Linked DNA regions of Oryzias latipes. The protein of the gene in region 2 interacts with the protein of the main gene of each other region in a biochemical or structural test. Links are inferred from orthologs where the notes say so. Each region holds a gene or a part of one and is shown on either strand. Other genes may lie near its edges.

Evidence for each region.
Region 1: the proteins of ubiquitin-conjugating enzyme E2 D2 (region 2) and otub1 form a complex in vitro, tested with the Homo sapiens proteins (4 studies listed by BioGRID, with this or other methods). The link is inferred for Oryzias latipes from reciprocal best matches to the Homo sapiens genes UBE2D2 and OTUB1.

What each region holds. Positions count from the first base shown.
Region 1 is NC_019876.2:28,617,367-28,621,016, reverse strand, and holds part of otub1 (ubiquitin thioesterase OTUB1), read left to right. Parts: intron 1-2,452; coding exon 2,453-2,551; intron 2,552-2,662; coding exon 2,663-2,781; intron 2,782-3,650. UniProt on the Homo sapiens protein: Hydrolase that can specifically remove 'Lys-48'-linked conjugated ubiquitin from proteins and plays an important regulatory role at the level of protein turnover by preventing degradation.
Region 2 is NC_019880.2:25,335,766-25,340,010, forward strand, and holds the start of ubiquitin-conjugating enzyme E2 D2, read left to right. Parts: upstream 1-1,401; 5' UTR 1,402-1,791; coding exon 1,792-1,815; intron 1,816-2,545; coding exon 2,546-2,609; intron 2,610-2,753; coding exon 2,754-2,785; intron 2,786-2,913; coding exon 2,914-2,991; intron 2,992-3,207; coding exon 3,208-3,313; intron 3,314-3,422; coding exon 3,423-3,516; intron 3,517-3,603; coding exon 3,604-3,652; 3' UTR 3,653-3,653; intron 3,654-4,245.

The DNA of each region.
Region 1 (3,650 bases), on a different chromosome or scaffold from region 2:
TGAATGCGTCCATCCGATTGGTCAACAACGTGAATGCGTCCAATGATTGGTCAACAACGTGAATGCGTCAAATGATTGGTCAACAACGTGAATGCGTCCAAATGCTTGGTCAACAACGTGAATGTGTCCATCCGATTGGTCAACAATGTGAATGCGTCCAAATGCTTGGTCAACAACGTGAATGTGTCCATCCGATTGGTCAACAACGTAAATGCGCCAATGATTGGTCAACAACGTGAATGCGTCCAAATGCTTGGTCAACAACGTGAATGTGTCCATCCGATTGGTCAACAACGTGGATGCGTCCAAATTTTTGGTCAACAACGTGAATGCGTCCAAATGATTGGTCAACAACGTGAATGCATCCGAATGATTGGTCAACAACGTGAATGCGTCCATCCTATTGGTCAACACCGTGAATTTGTCCAAATAATTGGTCAACAACGTGAATGTGTCTATCCGATTGGTCAACAACGTGAATGTGTCTATCCGATTGGTCAACAACGTGAATGTGTCTATCCGATTGGTCAACAACGTGAATGCGTCCATCGATTGTCAAACGCATGAAGGGATTTATTTGATTCTTTAAATACTTCAAGCTGCCATTGTGCACGTTTAAGGTAACCATTAATCGCAATTTCTGCAGACTTTCGCGATATGCGTATTGCACAGCTTGATATCGTGAAAATGATCCTTTTTTTTTCACTTGAAAAGTCATTCAACCACAATGCATTGTGGTGTATATTTGCAAATGTAGATGGTGTCCAAATTCCTTCATGAAGCACTACTCGATGCACTATATAGGGCGTTCCACTTTTTTTATTGGTGGGGGATTCCGAATGTACAGTTCCAAATTTCAGTGCCCTGGAATTTCTTTCTACGAGAAATTAGTAGGCATCGATGTTACAAGATTGGCCAACGTAAACTACAGTGCAACGCTTCTTTGTTTGTAGAGAAAATGTTTCAATTTTATTTTTATAAACTGTTCATGTTTTCATCACCGTGGATTAAAATCTTTTTCAAGGTCGTGTCACACAGCCGAGTACTTTTTGAGCATTTTCCTCGTATGAAATGTTGTTCTTTCTCGCCTTCGTCGTTTGTCGATATGCATAGGTGTCCGTCGAGGGTTTCAGCTGATGGATCATTACGTGAATTTGGTTTTGAGTTTAAAATTTTGAGAATTATACAGTTTGTGCCTGTTGTACACACAATTATTACATAAACTATAATTGTGCTTGATTTTCGCAAGATGCATACACAAATCTGTGTCTTTCAACGACTGTTTATCTTATGTCTAACATACTTTTTATGCATGAACCACCGTTGTATAACTTTTATATCACCAGTGACCAGTTTTCATCCGGGCTATATCAATGTACATAGTGGCTGTGGGACACAGGCTTTAATTGTTCATATTTATTTATGAGGTTCTTGCTTCTGGAAATCGGTGATGTCATAATAATAATAATAGTCAGCGTGGAGTCTGAATTGCTGTTTAAAACTTCTAGATAGTTTTTAAGTGATAGCGGAGAAATCTTCCCACAACAGAGAAAACACTTCCCAACTAGCTAGCGACATGAACATCAGTGAATTTAGAGGCGGCCCTTCTTGGTGCTTTCCTTTATGACAAGACACGAATATGGACATTAACGTCTGGACAACGTTGAGTTATTGTTCTGGCTGTCCACTATTTCAAGAGTTACTGTATCGTGATTGCACCAACTTGTTTTGGGAGTGAACCGAGCTGTCAGAATGTTGGTTTGTATTCTATTCGTAAAGTTTGACAAACTGACTTTTCTGACTTTTTCGTTGACCTTCCCTTTAGCGCAGCATCATCTAGTGCAGTGGTCCCCAACCTTTTTGTTACCGCGGACCGGTACAACGCAAGACACGTTTACCGCGGGGGGGGGGGTTTGAGGCACGTTTACCGCTGCCTATTAAAGGCAGATTTCCCTCTTTTAGGGGGTGCAGGTTCCTCTTCTGTCCCTTCATTGGACCGTTTCCCCTTGTCAAAGCAACTTTCTAAAGAAGTTTGTTTTTTTGCTCATTTTGTTTTTTTGTGTTTAATTTTAGCGGGGTGTATCACGTGATGTTTGGTGTCGCGACTTTGACGTGCGTTAAGTGTGACGGATGTAACAGAGAGAATCCGGTCACTTTTCAAAATAAAACGTTTTTTTCTCTCGAAAAAAAGCAATAAAATGGAAATTATTTTTTCTTTCTGTGCGTCCCGGTGCCAAGTGTCCCGCGGCCCGGTACCGGTCCATTGGTGCCACTACACCAATTTCTGTTCTATGCGACTGTTTTTAACAGTTTTAAAATAGGCCATTCTTTGATGGTGCGGAAAAATACAGTAGAACAAAAGCATTTGTGTGAATCCAAACCTGTAGTAAAAGTTGCAGAGAGTCTCTCAGTGCAAACACAAACTGTGATGTGTGTTTGTGTGAGTGTGCAGATCGCCAACACGAACCCCCTGGTGTCGGAGAGACAGGAGCTGTCGGTGCTGCAGAAAGAATATGCGGAGGACGACATGGTTTATCAGCTCAAGATCAAGGTCGGTGGGCTCACGCATCTCCGCCTCCGTCTTCGCTCTCCTTACATTCGGTTTACTAATGTTCCAACTGCCGCATAGATTTTAAAATTACGCCCTTTGATGTCGTCGCAGGATCTCCACAAAAAGTACTCTCATATTCGGAAGACACGGCCTGACGGAAACTGTTTCTACAGGGCCTTTGGTTTTGCACACCTCGAATCCCTGTTAGAAGACAGCAAAGAGCTTCAGAGGTTAGTGTTTTCTAAAGGACCGGTTCTGTCTCATTGGGTTCATGATGTGCTGCGTTCTCACCAAACGACAAGTTCCAAATTGGCTGCTGGACGTCTTTCCAGAAATGGGTTAATAAAGGTGACGGTCGCGCCATGTCCTGCCGATCTGACAGTTTGCATATTGCCCTGACAAAATTCACCTGTGCGGGTCAGAGAGGAGAGGCCTGCCCTCTAATTAGAGTGCCATCAGTTGTAGAAAAAAGGAGACCTAAAACGACAAAGACAGAGGATATGGGAGTCAGAGAGGAGGTAACTGAAAGAGGCTCCAACTCTCAACCCCGCTTCCACAACCTGAAAGACCGACATCGTTTCAGTGGAAGCCCGATTGGATGCAGCATCCACCAAACATCTGCTCCAAACCTGGATCCAATTTGCTGCACAACAAACCGGACCAAGAAACAAAAACTCTTCAAAGAAAACACTGAACTTATCTTCTAAAACAAGAAAGACTGTTGGACCGGACTCCCTGTAAAAGGGACTGGATACAGGAAACAACGGCCCCAGAAACCCGGGACGGATTTCTAAGGAGTACCTGGACCGACATTTTAGATAGATGGATGGATAGATAGATAGATAGAATTTATTCCAGACTCATGCTCCAATCAGTAAAAAGGAGTACACAGACCCACTACATTTAAAACAAATACACAGTGTCAAGAATACACAAGTTGAGGTACAGTGTATAGTTACAGTTAATAAAAACGTTAATAAAAAATACTTGATAAAAATAAATTGATTAAAAATGATAAGAATAAATACAAAGATAAAAAGATTACATATACATACCACACTATAAAAACCTTAATTACAATGACAAATAAAAAGACAGT
Region 2 (4,245 bases):
TTTGGGACATGCTGGAGATGTTTCCAGATGGGTGTCTGGTCTCAAAGACTGTTTGATAGGAGCTTTTATGCTCTCCATGCTGGGTTCTATAAAGACGGTTGGAGATCATTGCCATTTATTTGCTTTTTTATACAAACAACATATTTTAAAGCAACGTCATTTTACATAGAGTGTTTGGTAATTAATTTGACGTGCCACACAGCATACCTACTATTCATGTTTTTCCACAAGTTTATTTTTTTAACCTATTAAAACATAACACACAGTGGCTGCAGGTGAATTTTTCTAGCAGAAATTGAAAGATATACGACCAAGATATTAGAGAAAGAGTAAAGATAAAATTATCTAGGTCTGCATCTGAACACATCAACATTTTTTGTATTTTTCAGCACAGATCTGAAGGAATTGAATGACTGATTTCCCACATATGCTCCTCCTCTACTCAGCTTTCCAGGTTTATTGAATCACATTTCAATTTCTGAAACATCCATGGTGAAAAAAAGTTGAACATGACAATCAGGATGGAAAAAATCTAGAAGACGAAAGAGGTAAAGCCATAAAAAACAACCATAGAAAAGATCTGAATTTGTAGTGTCACAGAAGAAAATTATAGCCAAATAGGTGACTCTTTTGTAATTGGATGCTCATATTTAGAAGAGAATGATGTGTAAACTGATCAGAAATGGACAGTAAAGAATGACATTTTCTACTCTGCATGTTTCAAAGTTCAAATGTTTCTACCCAACTAATCTGGAAATATGTTGCTAAAGCAAAAGAGGTGACAGTTTTCACGCTCAAGAATATTTTCAGAGTAAACTCTGGAATGTCATTCCTGACATGGAGTTTAGCTGAAAAAGTAAGAATTCATCTTCCAAGTGTATTTAGGACTTCTAGGAAAATTTACAAGTGGAACTAATATAAAAAAAGCAAGACCTGAAGAAGTAATGAGAACTTATGCAGGTGAGCATTTGTCTGGGACAAACGGATGAAAAGTCACAAAATGAAACAACACACTGAAGCACACAATCCTCATTACAATAAGGAAGGACGTAACCATTTTGACTCCGCCCCTTTATTTTAAAATTTGATGTTCTGATTATAGTGTCATCCAGTTAAAATAATGGAATTAATTTATTAATAATCAGTTTTATTTAACAGCTGCTTTTAGAAACTACATAGTTAACAATAAATCACTAAAAATATAAATTTTAAACTCTATATTTCTGTACACAAAGGTGAGAAAAGTCTTGTGTAAAAAACTGCAGGGATGAACAGGAAGTTATAAAATTGTTGACAATAATTTCTCATTCTGCTTTCTCATTCACGCTCATGGCGAACTGACCACGCCCTCACAGCAGGATGACGGCGCATTCCCACTGACTGACTCCGCCCTCACAGGATTCTGGCTCCGCCCTCACGGCATAAAGCTTCATCTGTATGTGGACAGCGGCTAGTTAGCTAACAGCATCGACCGAAACCTGAAGAGGGGCAATTATATCAGGCCGGGGTTATCCACCTGGCGTTCGCAATTAGTCAATTCCCGAGGGGACACGGATATTTCAGAACCGAACCAAAAGAAAGGAGTTCCTGAGGAACGTAGCCAGTTTTCGTGAAGTCTTGGCCGCATACGTAGTTTTAACCTGCTATCATATCAGCTAGCTTAAGCAGACAGGCCGTGGAGCTGAGCCAGCGTGAATTATCTAATCGAAGCGGTCATCCTGGAACATCACAGCCCGCCTTTGTGCTCACTTTCTGTATCAACAATACGAAAACCCCAAACACGGAGGGAGGATGGCCCTTAAAAGGATCCACAAGGTAAGAGAACGGCGGAACTGCGTGCTAACGGTGTTAGCTTTCCATGCTAGCCTCCCTAACTATTCTCCGTCAAGGCTAACGAGGAAGTGTCGCTTCGAGGTTCAGGTGTGGAGCTCTGCTCGGCTTGATGGCGGTTATAGTTTTCAGTCCAGATACTTGTGTGTCAGAAATGTGTTACAACCGGCTGACGCGCAGCTCGCCAGCCAGCCAGCTATCATTAAATCATTAGCAGTTTCGATTTTCGACCTAACCTCTCTGTTGGGGCTGACGTCTGTCAGGGCCGACCGGTCTCGGTCGTTGTTTTTGCGTTCGGTTCTCCGTGATTCACACCTGACCAAGCCGGCCAGGGCCCACGTCACGATTAGCCTCGTCGCGCGTGTGCGCGCCCGGCTGAGTTAACTCCGGCCCGGATGGGAACCGGGCAGCCCCGGAAACCGGCAGGCCGCCCGCAACTTGCCGGTGTCTGGAAGCCTCTATGAGGAAAGGCCGGGGTGGGGCCCGGCTCATCCGCTCCAAAATAGACGGTCACCTAAAAATAAACATTATATGGACGGGCTGTATGTTTGCTGTGGATATAAAAACTGGGCTGTGCGGGCCCGTCCGGGGGAGGGGGTATGGGGGTAACCTTAACCAGGGAGGACGTTGTTCCTCACATACTCGGTGTTTGGAGATGTTGACGTTCGTCAGACTCTAGTATCTTCATGACTGACTGAAGCTCCTCTCCTGACAGGAACTGAATGACCTGGCTCGTGACCCCCCAGCTCAGTGCTCTGCTGGCCCGGTGGGAGATGACAGTAAGTGATCCGAACACACTGATGTAAATCTGAAAACCACATATGTTAGTGGATGCCGTGAACAGGAAACAGCGTTCCTGGCAGGCTGTGACAGTCACAGTGACCTGTAAGCTTCTTTATAATGCTTCATTTTTGTCCTTGCAGTGTTTCACTGGCAGGCTACCATCATGGGACCTGTGAGTACATTTTGACCTTCCCGTCATGTTATGGTGGTGGGGGGGGGGGTCTCACTTTCTTCATATAACGGCAAATGTTTATGCTTGGATCTGTCAGTCCTTAACTCGGTTTAAACTTCTCCTTGCAGAGTGACAGTCCATATCAGGGAGGTGTTTTCTTCCTGACAATTCATTTTCCAACAGACTACCCCTTCAAACCCCCAAAGGTGAGCTGCTATGACGGGTGTCTTCTGTGCGTTTCCATAGTAATGAGTTAAGACAGGATGTGGTGCTGCCTTTTGATTTAGACAAAGCGTTTGATTTCGGAACAAAGTGAAACTGTAATTCTTTTTTTTTCCTGTTTACATCATCTGCCGGTCCAGCCTGTTCTGTCGCAGGATCTGCGTTGCATAACTCAGATTTTTGTTGCGTCTCTCCCTCAGGTGGCATTCACAACAAGAATTTACCACCCAAATATTAACAGTAATGGCAGTATCTGTCTGGATATTCTCAGATCACAGTGGTCTCCTGCACTTACTATTTCTAAAGGTAGGAAGCTGTAGTTTGACGTTTAATAATTAACTAATGTCTTTTAATGTTGTGGAAGAAGTTTGCCTTCCGATGTCAAACTGAGTTTCCGTAAACTTTTCTCTTGTAGTTCTTCTCTCCATTTGCTCACTCCTATGTGACCCAAACCCCGATGACCCATTAGTGCCAGAGATTGCACGGATCTACAAAACAGATGGTCAGAAGTGAGTAAAAGCCGTCCTTTTGCATGTGACAAGACCCTGATCCCACCTTTTTTGGTTGATCCATGTGCGTGGATTTCACTTTGTTAGGTACAATAAACTAGCTCAGGAGTGGACGGCAAAGTATGCCATGCTGTAGGGTAAGCCTAGTGCTGCATCTTGACTGGTATCTCTTTCTCACCTTGGCAAAGATCTAACTGTTGCACTAATCTGTGTGCACACAACCAGTGTACTCGGTCAGATTCAGTCTCCCTTTTGTACCCCAGCTTCAGATTTGATCTGATTTTCTTCAGACGTTCTGAATGTGACGAGTTTGACGGGAAATGAACTGTATGCATGACAGTGAAAAAGTGGTTCAATTTGACGTGTCCTGCTAAGTAGCTTTTGGGGTCAGGCACAAATGTGTCTGGTGTGGTTAAAGTCCCACTTTGATCATCTTTTGATCTATTTTCAAAGCATTCTCACTGGTCTTTTAAATATGACTATTGCTAATGCAGAGCAACCCCCCCCCCCCCCATTACTGAGAGCTCCCCGTTTACGTGTTCTCCCCCTAGCTTAAAGTCCCTCACAGCCCCAAGCTAACATTAGCAGTGCAACAAAAATGTTGAGCAATATTGAAGCTATCTAGTGGTACAGTTTTTAGCCAGATGCCAGCTCAGACGAGGAAACAGGTTTTTTTAATCCTGTCTTTATTCACAAGGTTTGAATAGCTTAATTTATGTAATGTCCTCC